Linked DNA regions of Arabidopsis thaliana. The protein of the gene in region 3 interacts with the protein of the main gene of each other region in a pairwise test. Each region holds a gene or a part of one and is shown on either strand. Other genes may lie near its edges. The genes, in order: AAP5, ABC4, AT4G19370 and AT1G21790.

The links.
Region 1: the proteins of AT4G19370 (region 3) and AAP5 interact in a two-hybrid assay, tested with the Arabidopsis thaliana proteins (one large-scale study listed by BioGRID).
Region 2: the proteins of AT4G19370 (region 3) and ABC4 interact in a two-hybrid assay, tested with the Arabidopsis thaliana proteins (one large-scale study listed by BioGRID).
Region 4: the proteins of AT4G19370 (region 3) and AT1G21790 interact in a two-hybrid assay, tested with the Arabidopsis thaliana proteins (one large-scale study listed by BioGRID).

What each region holds. Positions count from the first base shown.
Region 1 is NC_003070.9:16,763,875-16,769,557, forward strand, and holds AAP5 (amino acid permease 5), read right to left. Parts: upstream 3,812-5,683; 5' UTR 3,350-3,811; coding exon 3,262-3,349; intron 2,846-3,261; coding exon 2,612-2,845; intron 2,565-2,611; exon of another isoform or gene 2,385-2,564; intron 2,311-2,384; coding exon 2,217-2,310; intron 1,976-2,216; coding exon 1,603-1,975; intron 1,431-1,602; coding exon 777-1,430; 3' UTR 518-776; downstream 1-517. UniProt on the Arabidopsis thaliana protein: Amino acid-proton symporter. Stereospecific transporter with a broad specificity for glutamate and both neutral and basic amino acids. Reduced affinities for asparagine and valine.
Region 2 is NC_003070.9:22,323,898-22,329,137, reverse strand, and holds ABC4 (UbiA prenyltransferase family protein), read left to right. Parts: upstream 1-1,778; 5' UTR 1,779-2,199; intron 2,200-2,368; 5' UTR 2,369-2,378; coding exon 2,379-2,468; intron 2,469-2,547; coding exon 2,548-2,772; intron 2,773-2,853; coding exon 2,854-2,957; intron 2,958-3,050; coding exon 3,051-3,122; intron 3,123-3,210; coding exon 3,211-3,349; intron 3,350-3,425; coding exon 3,426-3,532; intron 3,533-3,618; coding exon 3,619-3,718; intron 3,719-3,792; coding exon 3,793-3,831; intron 3,832-3,916; coding exon 3,917-4,027; intron 4,028-4,105; coding exon 4,106-4,171; intron 4,172-4,235; coding exon 4,236-4,331; 3' UTR 4,332-4,701; downstream 4,702-5,240. Other genes in the region: AT1G60610 (SBP (S-ribonuclease binding protein) family protein), read left to right, coding at 1-60, 150-517, 594-1,139. UniProt on the Arabidopsis thaliana protein: Involved in the synthesis of phylloquinone (vitamin K1). Catalyzes the transfer of a prenyl chain to 2-carboxy-1,4-naphthoquinone.
Region 3 is NC_003075.7:10,565,546-10,569,785, forward strand, and holds AT4G19370 (chitin synthase, putative (DUF1218)), read right to left. Parts: upstream 2,294-4,240; 5' UTR 1,991-2,293; coding exon 1,901-1,990; intron 1,833-1,900; coding exon 1,621-1,832; intron 1,070-1,620; coding exon 718-1,069; 3' UTR 523-717; downstream 1-522. Other genes in the region: AT4G19380 (Long-chain fatty alcohol dehydrogenase family protein), read right to left, coding at 2,882-4,240. UniProt on the Arabidopsis thaliana protein: Together with MWL1, contributes to secondary cell wall biology, specifically lignin biosynthesis.
Region 4 is NC_003070.9:7,652,250-7,656,510, reverse strand, and holds AT1G21790 (TRAM, LAG1 and CLN8 (TLC) lipid-sensing domain containing protein), read right to left. Parts: upstream 2,424-4,261; 5' UTR 2,155-2,423; coding exon 1,896-2,154; intron 1,619-1,895; coding exon 1,341-1,618; intron 1,150-1,340; coding exon 820-1,149; 3' UTR 530-819; downstream 1-529. Other genes in the region: AT1G21780 (BTB/POZ domain-containing protein), read right to left, coding at 2,645-3,250, 3,342-3,457, 3,698-3,843, 3,923-4,035.

The DNA.
Region 1 (5,683 bases), on a different chromosome or scaffold from region 3:
CATTGGTGTGCGTTACTCTAAATTCTTTACCGATCGACCCTAATACTACTTTGATTGCTTTGCACTTGTAGTTTAGGAAATTAAAACTATATCATCATTGGTTGAGTTATTTTTTATATTATTAAAGTTCTTGAGTATATATAAAACAAAAGAGTTGAGGTATCAAAAAGACACCAAGCATGTGATATTATTCTTAAGTACTTTCACTCATTTGATTGTATAGCTTTTGAATGTAACTAATGTTATTTATTGTGTAACTAACTGAGAATTCATCGATTGCTTTGTAAAAGAAAGATCAGAATATTTTCAGTGTCATATCATTATTCTCGATTTGCTTTTGTTAAATTTTAATTATTGTTTTGTCAAGGTAAACATTGATTATCTTATTTGTATGGCTTCATTAGGCATTGTTAGCTCAATTTTATCTAGGGGATCTTTAGTTTTGGAGAGTGTTTACAAGAAGATAAACGATTTAAGAATTTGAAGAATTTTGGAGATAAACACAAAACATCTTGTAGCTCCTTTGGTTTATAGACTTCTAAAATTAATTATAAGTATTAAATGTTTAATACATCTCTACTACCTCAAGTGTCGAAAAAGCTATCCTTATACATGACTACTTTTAATCATTGATAGTTCAATGTTGTAAGAATTCTCGGTAGAAACATGATTTATAATTGAACACTTACACAAAGTTAACTAATACAAATATGACATTAAAACATTCAATTCTAATCTTAACCCTTTTAGCAGGAGTTTATTTTTCCCGTATGATCTCAGAATTCAGACTGGAAAGGTTTGTAGACCTTGAGATCACTAACAATGCCAATAACAGATCCCGCGGCCGCGGCTACGGACACAAAAAGACATGTCACACTCAAGACTTGTAGACAAACCCACTTTGTGCCCCATCTCGGAACATTCTTCTGTGCAATGTACATTTCCACTGGGAAATAAACCGTTAAAGGCCAAAAACCAATGGCCCCCAAGAGACCGACTACATCGTTAAAGAAAGGCATTAACATTGAGATCAACGTTGTTGTCATCACGAAGAACGTCCTCCATACGAGCCTGAAGAGATTCAAGTTAAAGGGCTTCCCCGGGAAGAGTTGGATCTTGATCTCTTTTGTGACGAATTCGCTCTCTGGAAACCTCCTAGAGGCTTCCTTCTCGACGAAGGCAAAGAGGGGTTGGCAATAGACTTGGTAAGCACCGACTAGATGGATCACTATAGCGAGATTAGCAATGTCAAGCAACCAATATGGGTTTCTAAACCCTCCATGAGCGAGGAGATTTCCGGGTGCGTTATCCCCAAATGCTGCATACCCTACACAGCCACATAGCATGTAGAAGACTGTAGTCACTGCCACACTTACAAAAGTCGCTTTTCTCATCGTGTTTACTTCGGCAGGCGGTGATTTCACCGTGTCCTGGATCATCAAATCGTCTAGTTGATTAAAACATCCTTTAAACAAACTCTTATCACACAAACTCGCTTAACAAATAAACCAAACGATGCACTAGTTGTAACAACGTTATTTTTCTTTTGAATCTAACTTAACATTATTTTCAAAAAAAAAAAAACTCGCGTAACAAAAATACCTGAATTTCGATGAGAATCATCGAGTAAGAGTACGCAAACGCAATGTTGCCAAGAGACTGAAATGTTCTCCATATTTTCTGCGACGATGTCACTGTCCCACTCAGTGTCACTGTCCCAACAGTGACTCCAGTGAGACTACCTTTAATTTCTTTGTTCTCTACCACTTTAGAGACACCAAGGCCAAGTCCAATGGCAGAATAAGCAAAAGACATGACCGCAGCGACAATGGAAAGCCACCATAACTGATCAAAATCAGGAATCTGAGAGAATATGATTTGTACAATACCAAACGCAATCATGTAAACATTTCCATTAACATGACAAGGATCATTTGGTCCATTCATCTGTTGGCAACTTGTCCTTTGGATTGCTCTGTAAATTTTTTATTCAAGAAAATTAGTTAACAAGTCAAACAATAATAGAGCCGTTCTTTCGAATCTTTAATGGCACAAAACAAGACTACATTGACTAAAACACTGCATTATTGAGCCAAACATTAATGACTTGTATGGACAATATTGAATAGCAAAATAAAACACGCATCTAACTTTTTTTGGACAAATGTGAACAATTAAAATAAAAAGAGTTTTGTGAAAGCAAAGTTTTAACTTACACCAAACTTATAGCTGATGCAATTGTATATCCAATTGCTGTACCAAATAGATTAACATATTGCACAACTCCACATACTTTCACCTTAATCCCACCTAAAAATGAATCAAGAATGAATTAAGTTTTTGATGATAATAACTATTGGGATATGGAACCGATATGGAGAACCAGAGATCGACAGAGATCAACGGTTGAAATGACAAGGCCAAGATACGGCAAGAAAATATTATTCTAAAAGATAAATGTTAAACTTTCTAAACTTCAATATTAACATTTATCTTCTAGAATAATATCTTTTTGTTATATCTTGGCCTTGTCATCTCAACCGTCGATCTTCGGTTCAATATCCCAATATATGCACCAAAAAGAAACCGAAATGATTTTTTTTTTGTTTACCGAGGTTGGAGTGAATAGCGTCCATGTAAGTGTAGTTTCTTTTGCCGGTAACAGAGTCACCAGATCGGTAACAAGAACAGAGAAGGGTAGATGTGTAAAAAGTAACGAAAGAAAAGAGTAACATAGCCACTGGACCACCAATCCAACCAATCTGAGCAACGGCCCATGCCAATGACAACACTCCTGACCCAATTACTGCTGTTATTATGTGTGCACTTGCTGTCCACACCGTCCCTAAACACCAATCACATTCAAACAGAATTTTAAGACAAGAACTGTAGTAACAATAAAGTCTGTTTTGTTTAACCGTTAATTTTAAGACAACAACTGTAGTAACAATAGTGTTCATACACTTTAGTAACAAAAATCATACTTTTCCATAACATCCACACAAAAAAAGAAGTAGGAATTTGTCACCCCTTAACAAACAAAGCCTATGCATATATTTACTGTAGATGTTTTAAATTGCAAGTTCAACAGACTCCGGGTTTCGGTTTGTATCCCGAAACCCGGAATTAAAAAAATTCCGGGTTTCGGGTTCAAATCCCCGGTTATAGGAAACAGAGACTAATTTTATATTTACTTTGATTCTTGTTTGAACAGATTAGAGAAACATAAAACATAAAATTAGAGAAAAAAAGAGAAATTACCGGTTCGCTTGGGACGACCATCATCATCGAATGAATCCGAGCTATGTTTCGGAAGAACATCCAAATCTTGAACATTCTGAACGACCATCTTCTTCTTTTGGTCGACAATAAGACCAAAATTTACTAAGAAGAATCCAAACTTTACCGACAGGAAAAACGGTTGAAAAAGTTTTACTTGTTTTGTGTTTTCTCGTATAGATCTTGAATTTTTTTAAGACCAGAAGAAGAAGTGAAATCAACGATTATTCAGCGAGAAGAAGAATGATTTTGACCAAATAAAATCAACGGTGACAAGAGACCGATGTTTTCTATGGACCAGAGATTATATAATTGGAAGAGAGTGAAAGTATAGGAATTGACAAAGTAGAGATTAGAAATGCATGATAATATAAATACTGACCAAAGCTTTTGTTGTTTCACTAATTTATAAGCACCGTGGAAGACGGAGACATCCAACTTGTAAGAAGGAAGAAGCAGAGGAAACCGCATGTGCTTTTTTTTTTTTTTTTGTGAGGACTACAAAAATAGTTTATCTTTTTATGAGAAAATGGTTTCATTGTTATACATTAGTGACAACAAGTGCAAAATGTCAAATCTTATAAATTACATATAAGCTAAACAATCAAACTAAATTTTAAGATTTTTACCTTTAAAATATAGATATTTTAATTTTAAATTTTAGAAACAATGATTCATGTCCTTATAATTTAAGAGTATTTGAGTAAATCAAAGTAATTTAAGAAAATATATAATTAGAGATATAGTAGTTTTTATTATTATTGATTATTATGTTATATGTACTTTTGATGTCAAGAGAAAGTTGAAGGAAGATTTAACTTTTGAAATTCGTTATATCATTTGTAAATGAACGATTTGGTGGTATACTTATATTAATATTTTAGAATCATTTATCATAGGCATTACTCAAAAAAAACAAAATATATTTAACATGGGCATGTGTTCAACCATAATTATAAACAAATTGATAAAGTATATATTTTATTAATTTGTTATTTAAATAATTAACGTTTACCATGGACTTCTTTCGTCTATATCTAGTATATTTCTAAAAACTTTCGGTTGGTTTTGAGGAAATGAAAGTGGAAACTATGTATAGTGGTGTTTGCATGTTATGAGTTTGGTCACATTATATACTCTTTTTTGGTTGATAGGTTCTCACAAATTGAAGTTACAAAACAATGTTAAATATTCTCGATTATTTTCCATTTTATTTGTGGAGTTTTTGTATGAACATGCAAAATACACCTCGATTAGATGAAGTTTTTCAACATAACATTGCTAGAATTGCTAGGATTAATCTCAATTCTTAAAAATTCCATAAAAGCTAAACATCAAACCAAATTTTAAGATTTTTACCTTTAAAATATAGATATTTTAATTTTAAAATTTAAAAACAATGATTCATGTCCTTAATTTAATGAGTATTTGAGTAAATTAAAGTAATTATAATTAGAGATATAGTTGTTTTTTCATTATTATTGATTATTATGTTATATGTACTTTTGATGTCAAGAGAAAGTTGACGGAGGATTTAACTTTTCAAATTCCTTATATCATTTGTTTTTTTTTTGTCAACCGGAATTAATTAAACTCAAACGAACCAATTCCGAGGAATTAAAAATAAAGAGATGCTAATAAATTTTTCTTTCTCGCTCTTAAATTCTTTCAAATACACTGGAAACACCGACCATTCGGTTGGAAAATACACTGTCGTTATATCATTTCTAAAGAGTATAAATGAACGATTTGGTGGTATACTTTACTATTTTAGAATCATTTATCATAGGCAATTAGATATTATTTTGAAAAAGAAAATATATTTAAAATTTTGATGGGCAAGTTTTCAACCATAATTACAAACAAATTGATAAAGTAAATATTTTATTAATTTATTATTTAATAGTTATTTAAATAATTAACGTTTACCATGGACTTCTTTGTCTATATCTACTATGTTTCTAAAAACTTTCGGTTGGTTTGAGGAAATGAAAGTGGAAACTATGTAAAGTGGTGTTTGCCTGTTATGAGTTTGGTCATATTATATATACTCTATTTTCGTTGATAAATTCTCACAAATTGAAGTTACATAACAATGTTAAATATTCTCGATTATTTTCAATTTTATTTTTGGAGTTTTTGTATGAACATGCAAAATACACCTCAATTAGATGAAGTTTTTCAACATAACATTGATAGAATGGGTTTCACTTTTTTTAAATGCTTATTGCTGTGCAATGGTTTTCCGAAGTTTTCTGCATATATGAATTACCAAAAAATAGGAAATTTAATATAATCATTGGAACATCTAATCTATTATTTGAGTTGGAAAACATTTTGATTTTTCAGAACGATGTTGTTGGAAAACCAATAATTCATCTGAAAAGTATATTGATAGAAAAAG
Region 2 (5,240 bases), on a different chromosome or scaffold from region 3:
ACAGCCAGTTTCGGTATCAATCAAACACATCGTTGAATCAGCTTCACTTGCTTGGGACGAGTAAGTTTCTGAATTTTGTTATTCATTTGGTTTGAATGTTGTTAGAACTTTATAGAGCTAAAAGCTTGTTCCTTTGTATGTGGTTGCAGTGAGAGCTGGTTGTACTATTGATCCTGTAAACTACTTTGCTAATGATAACCTTGCTCCTATGATGCGGCTTAATAGCACACGCGGAAGGGAAACTGAAAACAACAATATTATGCAGAGACAGCAGAAGCTGCAGATCTCTTTGAATTATAACTACAACAACAATAATACTGTTGTTCAAGATGAAGTCCCAAAGCAGAACTTAGTGTCAACTGGTCTGAGACTATCTTATGATGATGATGAGCGCAACTCTTCTGTAACTTCAGCAAATGGAAGCATAACAACTCCAGTCTATCAGTCACTCGGTGACAATATCAGATTGGACCTCAATAGACAGAACGACGAGCTTGATCAGTTTATCAAATTCCGGGTATTAATTTTATCTACAAAGCGTATGTTTTTGCTTACATATCCCATGTCGTTGAAATTGTTCTCTCTTGGAACAGGCAGATCAAATGGCGAAAGGTGTGAGAGATATTAAACAGAGACATGTCACGTCCTTTGTCACGGCCTTAGAGAAGGATGTGAGTAAGAAGCTTCAAGAGAAAGACCATGAGATTGAAAGCATGAACAAGAAGAACCGGGAACTCGTGGATAAGATAAAACAAGTGGCAGTGGAAGCTCAGAACTGGCATTACAAAGCAAAATACAATGAATCTGTGGTTAATGCCTTAAAGGTAAATTTGCAACAAGTGATGTCACATGGAAACGACAACAATGCAGTAGGAGGAGGAGTTGCTGATCATCATCAAATGAAAGAAGGGTTTGGGGATAGTGAGATTGATGACGAAGCAGCTTCTTACAATTACTTGAACATCCCGGGGATGCCAAGTACTGGGATGAGATGTAAGTTGTGTAACGTAAAGAATGTTTCGGTCTTGCTCGTGCCATGTAGGCACTTGAGTTTGTGTAAAGATTGTGATGTGTTTACTGGTGTTTGTCCTGTTTGCCAGTCTTTGAAAACTTCTAGCGTTCAGGTCTTCTTCTTCTGAGTTGTCTTCATACTCTTGAAAAGTAAATGGTGGATGAACATATTTGTATGTGATGGTGGTGATGAATGAAAACTTGGTCGAGTCTTTCTTTGCTTTTGCCATTAAACCTATATAGCATGATTCTGCTATTTCGTAGTTATTAAGCAGCCGTTCTTTGAACACGAGATAATAATTGAGTTCCGTGTCGTGTGCGATATGTCAAGCTGTGGATTACATTGTTAGAAGAAATTATTAAACTTGTTTTGGCTGATTTTTTTCTTCTTAATATTTTTGCTGCAAAACTTGTTTCCCAAGTAAGGTTATTTATGTACTAAAACAATATTTTTTTAATGTAAAGGATTTTGATCAATATTTCCGTTAGAAAAATACTAATAAAGTTGATATTAATATACATCATATTACGTTTGCAAAAATAAAAAAGACGCAGTTAATTTCCCCATCTGAATATTAATTTTTGGCATTAATATTAATTTGGTTTAATTATAAATTATGTCAACATTGTTTAATTTGTAAATCATGCAAATCTAGTTTACTTGTAGTAGTTTGTACCAACCAAACCCTCAAAGGCTCGAAAGTAATGGGCCTTAAAGGCCCACCTTTCTACTTGTATTTAAAATTGGTCAAAGACACGTGAACCTCACGTGATTTTATCTTCCAACGAGGGAGCTTCTGTTATCCACTTCATCATTCACGTCTCTTCCGCAAAACCCAACATTCAAATTCTTGTCTGAATAACGAAATCCCAACATTTGCATTGCATAGATTCCTTCACAAATCCTCTGATTCTGATTCTGGTCACTCAATTTTGCCTGTTTATTGGCATAATTCGGGCACTTTTCTCTCAGTTTTTGTATAAGGTTCAATGAGTTTGTTCTGTACTTCTGTGTGCGTTATCTTCTCCAAATTAAGATTCCAGATTCGTGGGTTCATGAAAATCTCGTTGTAGACGAGCCAAGTTGAAATATTTTTCCTCAAGTGAATTTTGTTATGATCACGTCGTGGTTTTGATCTGACTCCACTTCCGTCGCTAACTCTCTTCGAAAGATTCGTGTTAAAAAAGGTAAAGTTCCAAACTTCATACTTTTTTTACTTCATCTTACTCATTTTCCATTGTCTCTGATTCATGCCAGAACAAAGATTTTAGTTATAGGGTTCCAGAATCTCGGACTTTAACTCGGAAGTAGTGTTCTTCCTCTGTTAACTGAAATTCTTTCTTTTGTTTTATGCAGAAACCTGAAAATGGTGAATTTTGTTTCTCTCTGTGACATAAAGTATGGGTTTGTGCCCAAAAATTCAACTGATTTGTTTGTGAAACGGAAAATTCACAAGGTAGGCTTAGCACTTCATCCAAAGCTTTGTTCTTTGACAATAATCTACTTTGTACTGTCACTAAAATTACTTAGCTTAGCTTCCCAGCAGAGGAGATGTAATCACTAGATTACCGGTGTTTGGTTCGAATGCACGAGAGAATCTGAATGCTAAACCAAGAAGAAACCTTAGAGTTAGGCCAATCTTTTGTAAGAGTTATGGAGATGCAGCAAAGGTTTACCAAGAAGAGGAGATTCCCAGAGCAAAATTGATATGGAGAGCAATCAAACTACCAATGTACTCTGTCGCTTTAGTTCCTCTTACCGTATGTTTCCTCAAGAAACCTTTCTATGTCCTCCATTGCCTTTATCTGCTAGGGAATATTCACTGTTCAAATGTCACACAGGTTGGCGCTTCAGCGGCCTATTTAGAGACGGGTTTGTTCTTAGCTAGACGTTATGTTACTCTATTGCTCTCATCAATTCTTATCATTACTTGGCTCAACCTAAGGTGATTAATTGATTGATTCCTTTTAACATTTTCGTTGACTGTATTTACTCTTTCATGTATTTACTCTTTCCAAACATGGTTTTATGTTTGCAGCAATGATGTTTATGATTTTGATACCGGAGCTGATAAGAACAAAATGGAATCAGTAGTAAATCTGGTTGGAAGGTAAAGTATTATCAAAGGATAGAGTTTGCAACTTTGAAGTTTATGTTTTTGAGTTCCATCCTAATAAACTGTGTTTTACTTGGAAAAGCCGGACAGGAACCTTAGCCGCTGCAATCACATCGCTAGCGCTTGGTGTTTCTGGTCTAGTTTGGACATCGTTAAATGCAAGTAATATCCGTGCAATACTATTGCTAGCCTCAGCAATACTCTGTGGCTACGTATACCAGGTGAACGTTACTTCCTAGATGACAATTTGATACTAATCTAGGAGATTTCTAACTTAGAGTAATACTTTGTGACTAGTGTCCGCCATTTCGGTTAAGTTACCAAGGATTAGGAGAGCCTCTATGCTTTGCAGCATTTGGTCCATTTGCTACTACTGCTTTTTATCTACTTCTTGGTAGCTCAAGGTAATATCAAAATTTTGTTTTAAGCCTAATCCATTCGTGTTTCCATGAGGTGTTAATAATGGAAGCTTGTTAATCGGTTTTGGCAGCGAGATGAGGCATCTTCCGCTAAGCGGTAGGGTCCTTTCATCATCTGTCCTTGTTGGTTTTACTACATCTCTTATCCTTTTCTGCAGCCACTTTCATCAGGTTGGTTAATGAAAAAGTGGTCTAATGAGTCCTGAAATGACAAACACAGTACTGACTACATTTACATTCTATAGGTGGATGGAGATTTAGCTGTGGGGAAATATTCACCTCTGGTACAAATGTGAAAAAAACTCAACAAGGTTTAATATGAATATGGTGATTGTGTTTATGATTAGAGTTTTTTTTTGGTTGACACAGGTTCGGTTAGGGACTGAAAAAGGAGCTTTTGTTGTGAGATGGACTATTCGTTTACTATATTCAATGCTTCTTGTTCTTGGTTTAACCAGGATTTTGCCACTACCTTGCACCGTAAGTTAACAGATTTGAGAACATGACTGAAATATAAGAACATATATTAAAACCTCCTTTTTGTTGTTGGTGTTTCAGTTGATGTGCTTCCTGACATTACCAGTTGGGAATTTGGTTTCAAGCTACGTTGAAAAGCACCACAAGGTAAGATATTTAGAATTGAAATTTGTAATACTCAAAGTTTTGCTAATCTATTCTTTTAATGCAGGATAATGGGAAGATATTCATGGCCAAGTATTACTGTGTGAGACTCCACGCCTTGCTTGGAGCCGCATTGTCGTTGGGGCTAGTTATCGCGCGCTAGAAATCAGTCACCAAACATTTGTTTCTCTCTTTAGCCTTCGTTGTATCTACCTAAACGTTTAGCCACTACAGTATGCTGTAGCTAAAAGGAAACATTCGAACTTACAACAGTTGTGAAAGGTCTCAAATTAATCACAAGCATGGTGAGCGATTGTATCCTCAATTGTTAAAGTGACGGGTGCCACCATGGATATGTTGAAACATGGGCCATGTCGGATTTAGTGCAAGCCCGTTGACGGCGTTTGTGTTAGGTAATTCAGATTTCCAACACACAAGATGGCCCAACAAAGAGGTTATGCTTGTGTTTGTAGGACATAATTGTTTCTCGATATGGACCTTTCTCCAATTCTTGAATCCATCCCAAACCACTGAAGTTGGATCCCATGTGCATTTAAGAAAATCATTAGAAGGTGAGATCCAGATTTATATTAGAGAACACATAAAACCCCAAAATATTATCATTTGAGAAGCCTATTCAGCCTATGTTATTAGGTTTTATAGCAAAATCATTAGCGGGTTTAGATGGGCTGCTCAAATGATAATATATTAGGCTTTATGTGTGCTCTAATAACTTTGATGGTAATGAGTTGACGGTATTGACCAAGTTGAAGATTGTGGACATTGTTGATTGCAATTTGATTCCTCGTGATCTGTTGTTGCTTTATGAATTACCTTCATGGCCGAGAAGCCTAGTTCATTCTAATCTTTTCACATCCTCTAAAGAATCCACAAGCTAGTAATTTTTCTTAAGCTTTTTACATTTTATTAATTTTCTCAACAAATTATTATATATTACTTGGATCTCAATATTACTTATATAGTACTAATATAAAACATTAAAAATCTTAACGAAATGTATATATTGTTGTTTTATATATATATATATGTGTCATCTTCTAATTATTCTAAC
Region 3 (4,240 bases):
AAATTACATACAAATGAGACTTCAATTACAACTACCACCAACATATTTCTGTAGTGGATACTATATGCCTTACTGACCTGTGAATCTCTGCTTTTGGGGTTTAAACATTTGTTTTGAGTCGATATCTTTTGTGGCACATATCATTAAGAATCATGTGTCTTTTGGTATCATGAACTTACCTTTTTTATTTAGGATTTTTGAAAGAATGTTGTTTCTTTCTTTTTTTCTTTTCTATTTGTTACAACCACTGATAAGTTAAATCTTCCAACATATGTAACAGTCTTTACTGTTTTTCTAGTTCCATGTTTAATTCTTCTCTATTCCCTTTGAGTTTTGACTTAAATGGGTCAAGTATAGTTGACTTGGTAAGTCTTGGGTGTCTGCATCTCCCACACGTGTGAAAGTACTATTCTCTTATTCATGTTGTAATAAGTTATAATCTTAGATTGATCAGAGTTATGTAGACCACTAGTTGAGGCTTGTAACTGGGAACGAATCTTCCTAATTGCCAGTCAATTGAGATAAAGAAGAAAATAGCATAATGCATAATTATTATACACAAGTTGAAACTATCGCGACATTCTTTTAATTGGTATCCTAGGTGACCTTAAGTGGTTGATGGATGAATTAAATAAGTGCATTAACCAATTATATACATCTTTGTAAATAATAGCATATCCGATATTTCCCCTTTTACTTTTCGTTTTATATTTATTTTTATATTCTGCTTATATTAGTGGAAGACACTTCTTCCACCAAGTGAATGACACTTTCTGACTTGTTCGTTTGGTGCTCATCATGCTTTTGTTCTTCTTCCATTGATCTCCTTTGGTCTTGGTTTTGGTCTTTGATTACGACTTGCACAAGTTGTTGTTGTTTCTTTACTTTGATCCTGGTGGCTGAAATGGTCAAAGCTCCAAGTCCAAGGATGGCTAAGCAGCCTGAAGCTGCAAAGACACCGTCTTTGACCAAGTAACAATCTTCATCAAGCCATCCTTCTCCATACGCTTGAGCTCGACTCATGCTTATTGCGGTACTCAAAATCAATACCACTACCACAAAATTGGACCTGATCACATAGGTAAGGAAAAACAAGAACAGAGAATTATCAATATAGGAAACTAATCTCAAGAGATATTTTCTTTCTTATACTTTAGATGATACATCGCCTGATATGTTTAGAATCTTAGGGATGGGAAATATAACTCTCAACCTTAAAATCGAATCAAACCAAAACAAATTGATTAACCGAAACGATACCGAACTTTGCATTAGTGTCACCTAACAAACCAGTCCATATTTTCTTTAGATGTTATATTTTTTTATTGCATAAACATAATATTGGTGAACTTCTTATATATTTATATTTCGGTTTTATTTTTTCAACTACAGCCGAACCTAGTACAAAACAAAAACTAAACAGCCAAACCAAAATACAAATGGTTTTATAGGTTTAAGTTTTAGTAAAACCGGAAAACTAAACCGTAAACCGAATTACTCACTGATTCAAAATTACCCAATACAAAATTCAGTAAGATATATCGGTAGGTGGTTAAGGGGATTCTTGGTTACAGTTAGATGAGATTAAAAAAAAAAAAGAGAAGAGGAAAAATATTTTACCAGGACAGGAGCAATAGAACCGTAGGTAAAGTAAGATCAGTAATCTTGTAACCATCTTCTCTTTTAGTTCTTGTCCGGTGATTTCGGAACACAACTATGTTCCCAACGATCTGAGCAAGGCAGAAGCAAAGAACAGCGGCTGATCCAAGCCCGAACGCATGGCTTCCGGGTACATAGCAGTTCCTCTCTGTGTCCCATCGAATATCTTCTTTCTACACAAGTAAACTTTGGTTCGATTTGTCAATATAAAAAAACAAATTGAAGGAACTCGACGTCGTACCTGTGTTCTCTTGAACTCGGCTGCGAAACATGTGATGAAGGAAACGAGACCAAGAGAGAACACGACTGAGTAGAGAAAAAGGTTGTGCATAGTTTTTAGTGGACAAAATCAATCAGACGCACTTACATATATGTAATTCTGCAACATAAATGCTACACCTTAGATTATTTGAGTCAAATTCTCAGGGGGATTTATTTAATTATCTTTTAATAGGCTTGAGGAAAGTTCTTTAATCTACATAAGGATGGAAAATAAAGAGAGAGAATAAAATTCTTAATTATATCAAATGATAAAATTTCCAAAACCATTTTAAAGAAAATAGATGATGGCGTATACTTTTGATACAAGTACACAACACAAACTTAAAATTTTGGATATGTGACTATGTGAGGTAACTTCTCATAGAAATCTTCTTTGTCAACTAAATAATATGGAAATAAAAGAGAGGAGAATATTATCATACATTAAAATAAAATTTTTTTCCAAAACGATTAAAAGGAAATAGATGATTTGTGTTTACTAAAGACGAGGTCAAACGTAGATTGTTTGACTTACATACAAAGTGGCCTTAATAAAAAGAACAAAAGCATGATAATGGCATGGACTATAGAAGTTGAGTATAGATTAAGCCTTCCCAAGTTAAAGGCTTGAAACTTTTTGTATACATAATTTTTTGTTTGTTTTGTTTTAGAATTAAAATCTGAAATTTTAATATGATTTTTTATTTCATATCATATATTGCCTACTAGCTTAAGAAATATTATCCATTTTGCTCATCTTTATTTCTTATTTATCAAGCTGCTACTGCCTACCAGTGTTTACTAGTTATAGTTTACGAATAATTAAAAGAAAAGGAAATTTATTGCTAACTGATACTTTGACAAAGAACTTCTTAATATTAGTTTTATCAATTGTATAAAAAAAACATTTCATTTTAAAAAATATGTGGAAAACTAAAATCTATTTCAAACTGATGAACCCTCACTTCTTCTTCTTAAGAACATCAACAACATTAAGTCCAATACAATAAGCAATAGACTGAACGGTGACCATCGGATTAACCCCTAAAGCGGTCGGAAAAACACTTGTGTCCGCCACAAATAACCTTTCGACCTCCCAAGTCTCTCCTGTTGGCCTCACCGCGGATTCCTCCGGCCTAATTCCCATCCTACAACTTCCCATTTGGTGAGCTGAACATATCTGACCTGACAAATCCTTCAACGGCTTTGAACTCTCTTCTCTCACAAACCGCTCAATCTCTAACGAACTCGCTGTTCTAACATTCAGACTCCTACCTTCTGAATGATGCGTCCCAATCTCCTCGGCTCCGGCTGCGGCCAGAATCTTCAAGACTCTTTCAAGACCGTTCTTTAGACTCTCTTCGTCTTCATCGTTTAAGTTGTAGTCAATGTAGGTCTTGGAATCTATTGTTCCGGTTCCTTTATCTCTCAGAAGCGCAAAAATGTGTGCGGTTCTTGAAAATTTGAGCATTCGGGTTTTGAAATCCTTGCTTGATGTCCAGGGAATGATCCCTGAGAACATTCCTGGATGTAGAGCAGGTGTCTGGATAACCATTTCACCATAAGAACTATGCGTTTCTTCAATTACAACGCTAGACATCGCAGTCATTATTCCCCCCTCGTAGCTCTTTTTCTTCTTTTCCGGCCACTTATCTTCCTCTGGAAACCATCCCCAAGCCATAACAACCGGATGTAGACAAAGGTTTCTCCCAATGTTACTATTCTTCAAACCGCTACGTTTCAACAGATGCGGCGTTCTAAGCGCACCGCAAGCCACTATTGTCACTCTAGACTCCACCACATAAATCTCTTCCCCAAACGCAAACGCAACTCCAGTTGCCTTCTTCTTCTTCCCCTGTTCACAGTCGTACATGACTTCCGTCGCTTGACAACCTGGAAGGATTAAACCATTATCAGATTCCACCAAATCTACAAGCCAAGTCTCTGAAGTCCCCTGCTTTTGACCTTTCTTGCAACCCAAGCAACAAAACCCACAGTAATGATCGGATGGAGCATTCCTCGGAATATTCTTCACTGGTAACCCTAACTTTTCACAACCTTTTCTCAATACCTCATTATTAAACCCTTCTTCTACAAATCCGCATTGAACACCCATCCTCTTACAGACAACATCCATTGCCTCTCGATACAAATCACTTCCGAACATTTCGAGTTTTGACTTTTCTGCCCATTCCTTCATCACATGTTCTGGTGTCTTGATCGAGGCGGACCAATTGATTGTAGAACCACCTCCGACTGTGGATCCCGCAAGAATCACTACGTTCGTATCGGACGTCGCTAATAACCCACCGGATAAATA
Region 4 (4,261 bases), on a different chromosome or scaffold from region 3:
ATAATTTTCAGATTCTGACTTGTTAGTAGCAAAAAGATCACCCTTGTTTCTTTTGCTACATAGTGTAATCTTCTTAACGTTTATGTCTTGTGAGATTCATCTTTGTTATTTCACTGTCACCAGTTTGATGGTCTCATATGATGCATTGTCACCAAGTAAAATATTGATTTTTGTTTTGTTTGGTTAGATAAAGACAAAGAAAACTGCAATCTGTGGTGCTGCTGAACTGCTGATGTTGAATCTATTCATTGGTCGTGTCTAAAATACAATATTTTGGATTAGATTCTAAACTGGTACATGCAACAGAACAAGCACCTGAGGTTCTATGGTGTAGTGGTTAGCACTCTGGACTTTGAATCCAGCGACCTGGGTTCGACTCCCGGTAGGACCTCTCATGCTCTTGCATTTTTTTTTCTTCCAAACATTGGTGGAAACTGAACCGGACCAAACTTCATCAACTCAACACTAAACAAACTTTCCTAATAGATTGAAAAGATTATACCAAAATTTAACTGAATAAACCAAAGTTCATTAAGATTAACTTTTATATAATGATTATGATATATAAATCACAACCAAAGATCAAACCAAAATTCTAATTTGGTTCCGTTTCCCCAAACACAAGAAGAAAAAAAGTCTGTTGACTGTAATCATCAAGAAATAACATTTACATGTAGTTTTCCTATAGAGAGATACATACAAATCTGAAAGCTATTAGAACTTAGTAGCAAAGCCTCAGATATAAACAAGAGATGAGTGGGTAGTATTCATACAACAACAAACCATAGATTCGGTAATGGATTGCCTCTAAATTAGCTATTATTCTCCATGGTCGTGAAGGTTGCCGTTCTCTTGGTTTCTTCTGTGGCTTCTCTCTCTTCTGAAAGCATGAAACAGATCCAACCCGAGGCCAACATTAAGAATGTTCATTCCTGCCATACCAGACAGAGCGAGTGGTAACTCCACGCCTTTCCCAAACTTGTGTGCGTCTTTGATCAGCTTGATAGTGATGAGAATGTGAGGAATGCATCTCGCAAACACAAAGGCTGTCCAGTTTAATACCCACTCCAGTTTCACCAATGCTGTGTTGCTGTCTCGGATTCCTGCCATTCTCCTTAGCTTCCTCACGTGTAGAAAGATCGAATGCATCTGTTTACACATCCGAATAACAGAGGTGTCACTTTTGTTCGAACAAGTAGATGTTGTAGAGTTGAGTCTATATCTAACTAGATTGTTATATATGAAACTAGTCTAGTTTAACTAGAGAATGTTAGCATAGATTCGGTAAAGAACAGAGAAAAGCCAGGGCAAGTTTTCAGGAAGAAAAAAGTGGAACGTACCTCACAGATGAGAGTAAGAATAAGGTAGTTGATGGTTACATTTCGGTATAGTGCCAATGTGAAGCAAACAAGGAGGACTAGATGGTGAACAAGAATAGAAGGTATTAAGCCGCTGTATAACCGGTACTGAAGCATATCCCACTGGTCATATGCAAAGTAGCCGCATGAGAAACACAAAGCTGGATATGCCCATTTCCAAGTCCCACCAACCAACTCAGAATGATCAAACATCTCGTCTAAACCTTTGGCTAAGCATTGATTGAGAAGTATGAAAACCACTGTAGTAACACAAGAGCAGTGTTGAAGATGAAAAATCATAATCAGTAAGGCTTAACGAAGAAAGAACTGCATTATACTCAAGCTATGGCAATCAATCATAAGACTAATCCAATCGGAAATAAGAATCACATTAAGCAATGAAACCGTGAAAACACAGCACCAAAGGAAAATTGACTAATACCAACGACCAATGTGCACACCTATGATAAAATTTCCCCACTAACAGAGCACAATCCTATAGTAAGAACTCAAATATAAGAGAAGAGAGAAAGGGACCTGATGCGGAGGTGATGATTGAGTGCAAAAGCGAGACAGAGGTATTAACAAATATAGGGTCACGAGAAATCCATGAACGAACAACCCAATTCATCAATTGAAAGAAGCATCCACCGCAAATCACCCAGAGAAGCTCCGTCCGGAGATTGAAAGCAATCTCAAACACGACGGAGACAAGCCAAAGAAGCAGCGTCGCTAAGAAAAACTGCCCAGCCCCATTCTTCTTCCCTCCTGAACTCCCAATCCCGTTCCTCGCCATCGAAACCTCACTGTCTCTCTCGGAGATTGCTTGAGAATCCGGCAAAGTTAACCCTAAATTGGATTCTTAGCTCAAACTTCGATATCCATTTCCAATTTTGGCGGAAGAGACGATACAAATGCCTTCACGTTATAAGCTTTACTTTGGGACGCAACGGACACGTGTCGGTCGATACTTCATCCTCCTGATGCTGACTCATCTAATTAAAACAAAAAACGTACGATTTCAACATCGACAAAATTATCATATTTTGTGCCGACATTCGATGTCGACAGTCATTAGGCCTAGTCACAGCCCATTTGAAAGGCTCGGCCCATTTGAGAGGCTCGGTACACCAAACTAGAGGCAAATCCACTCAATACTATACATTAGACAGAGTGATACAACAAAATCCAGAGTTGTTGTTAGTTACACACACAGAAGAGAACAAGAAGACTATAAACAAAACACCATCAAGCTGAAATGTTCAAAGTATGTGTGTAAGTGTATATTAGACCGGTTTCCACACAGACAAAACCTCTTGAAACATCTCCAGCATCAGTTCTCGATCAGCTTGCCTGAAGAAACTGCTGATTTCTTCTCTGACATCATAAATCTTTCCGAAATCAAACAAATACATCAAACACCCTTTCTTCAGTTTCTCCAGCTGATAAAGCCAAGCTTCTTGTAGCCTCTCGAGCACATTACTCGAGTTTATATCTTCCATTAGGCTCTCCTCGCAGGCTGCTTTCAAATCCGTTATGTCGTACTTGTTTGCAGCGCCGAGGAGGGCGAGCCTGTGTTTCCAGAACTCTTCTTGGGTTATGTTTCCGTAGAGGTAACTTAGTAGAGCCATGCAAGATTCTCTCGACATGTCGTCTATGTGGATTGTGGATGATTCCTTTTCCATGAGGTCGTGGTGGAACATGCTTTTGAAAACAGTTGAGCTAGCTGAGAGGATAGCTTTGTGAGCAGAGAGTGTTCCATCGGCTGTGTGGATGATTACATCGGTTAGTATGCTTTCCTCTAGCATCCGGGATAAGCATTTGAGAGTGGTTTGAGTAGAGATTGATTGCATTGTTGCATCGGTTGGCCAAACAGGAGAAGCTTCACCACCCTGGATTATGATTTGATTTGATCAACCATGGAAGTACAAATGTTACAAAGAGAAGAAATTGTGAGAGTATAAATAGAATCATTAAGCTTACATTCACAGGGCAGATTTTGAGATCAAGAAACTCAACATCAATGGTGAATCGACCGTGGAAACTGGAGTCAACATGCCACACACAATCATCAGTTGTACGCAGCAGCTTCTCATAAACTGCACCAAATAAACAGAGTATCTCAGCTTAAACAAACCTAATTCAGTTGTAACCATCCCATAAGGTACTACTAATCATCAGCCAATCATTAACATCTAAATTAATATCTTTCAGATTCCACATAATTGAATATAGTTCCCACATAAAAGGTAATTCCCTTTCCTGAAATACCTAATTCGAGCTCGACAATAGAATTCAAATTCCAAATCCAGAAAAGTCAATTCAAAGACAAGACATACCAGGAGAGATGTAGAATCTACGATTGGGGCCAACGTTGGAGACACGAAGAACAAATTTGGCAACAGGAGGTTGCTCTTTAGATACTCGAGAAAGTTCTGGGAATAGCCTCACTGATAGATAGCGATTCCTCTCTATAGACAGATGCCTTCATCATATCCCAAAACAAACAAAAATCAAAATTCCGAAGAAAATTTACCAAAATAAACCAAAAATGAAAAGCTTACCAATTCCAAATTCCGACTTTGAAAGGATCGGACTTTTTGAAAGAACAAGGACCAAAATTTTCAATTCTCCATTGAGCTAACCTCGAGATTGTCTCTACCTTCGTGTCCCCCATCCACTTTCTCTCTGAAGTTTTGACTTCCTTTTCTCTCTGAACTCTTTACTTCACGCCAAATAACACGACGAAGCAAGCAAAACACTCTGCCGCCTCCATCGCCTGCCACGTGTACGACGATTATACGTTTTTATCCATTAAACCGGTTTACTAACGATATATTAAAATCAATTCTCGGTTTGAAATGAAAGAGAGTGGACTTAGACTTAGAGAGATAACAGATAAA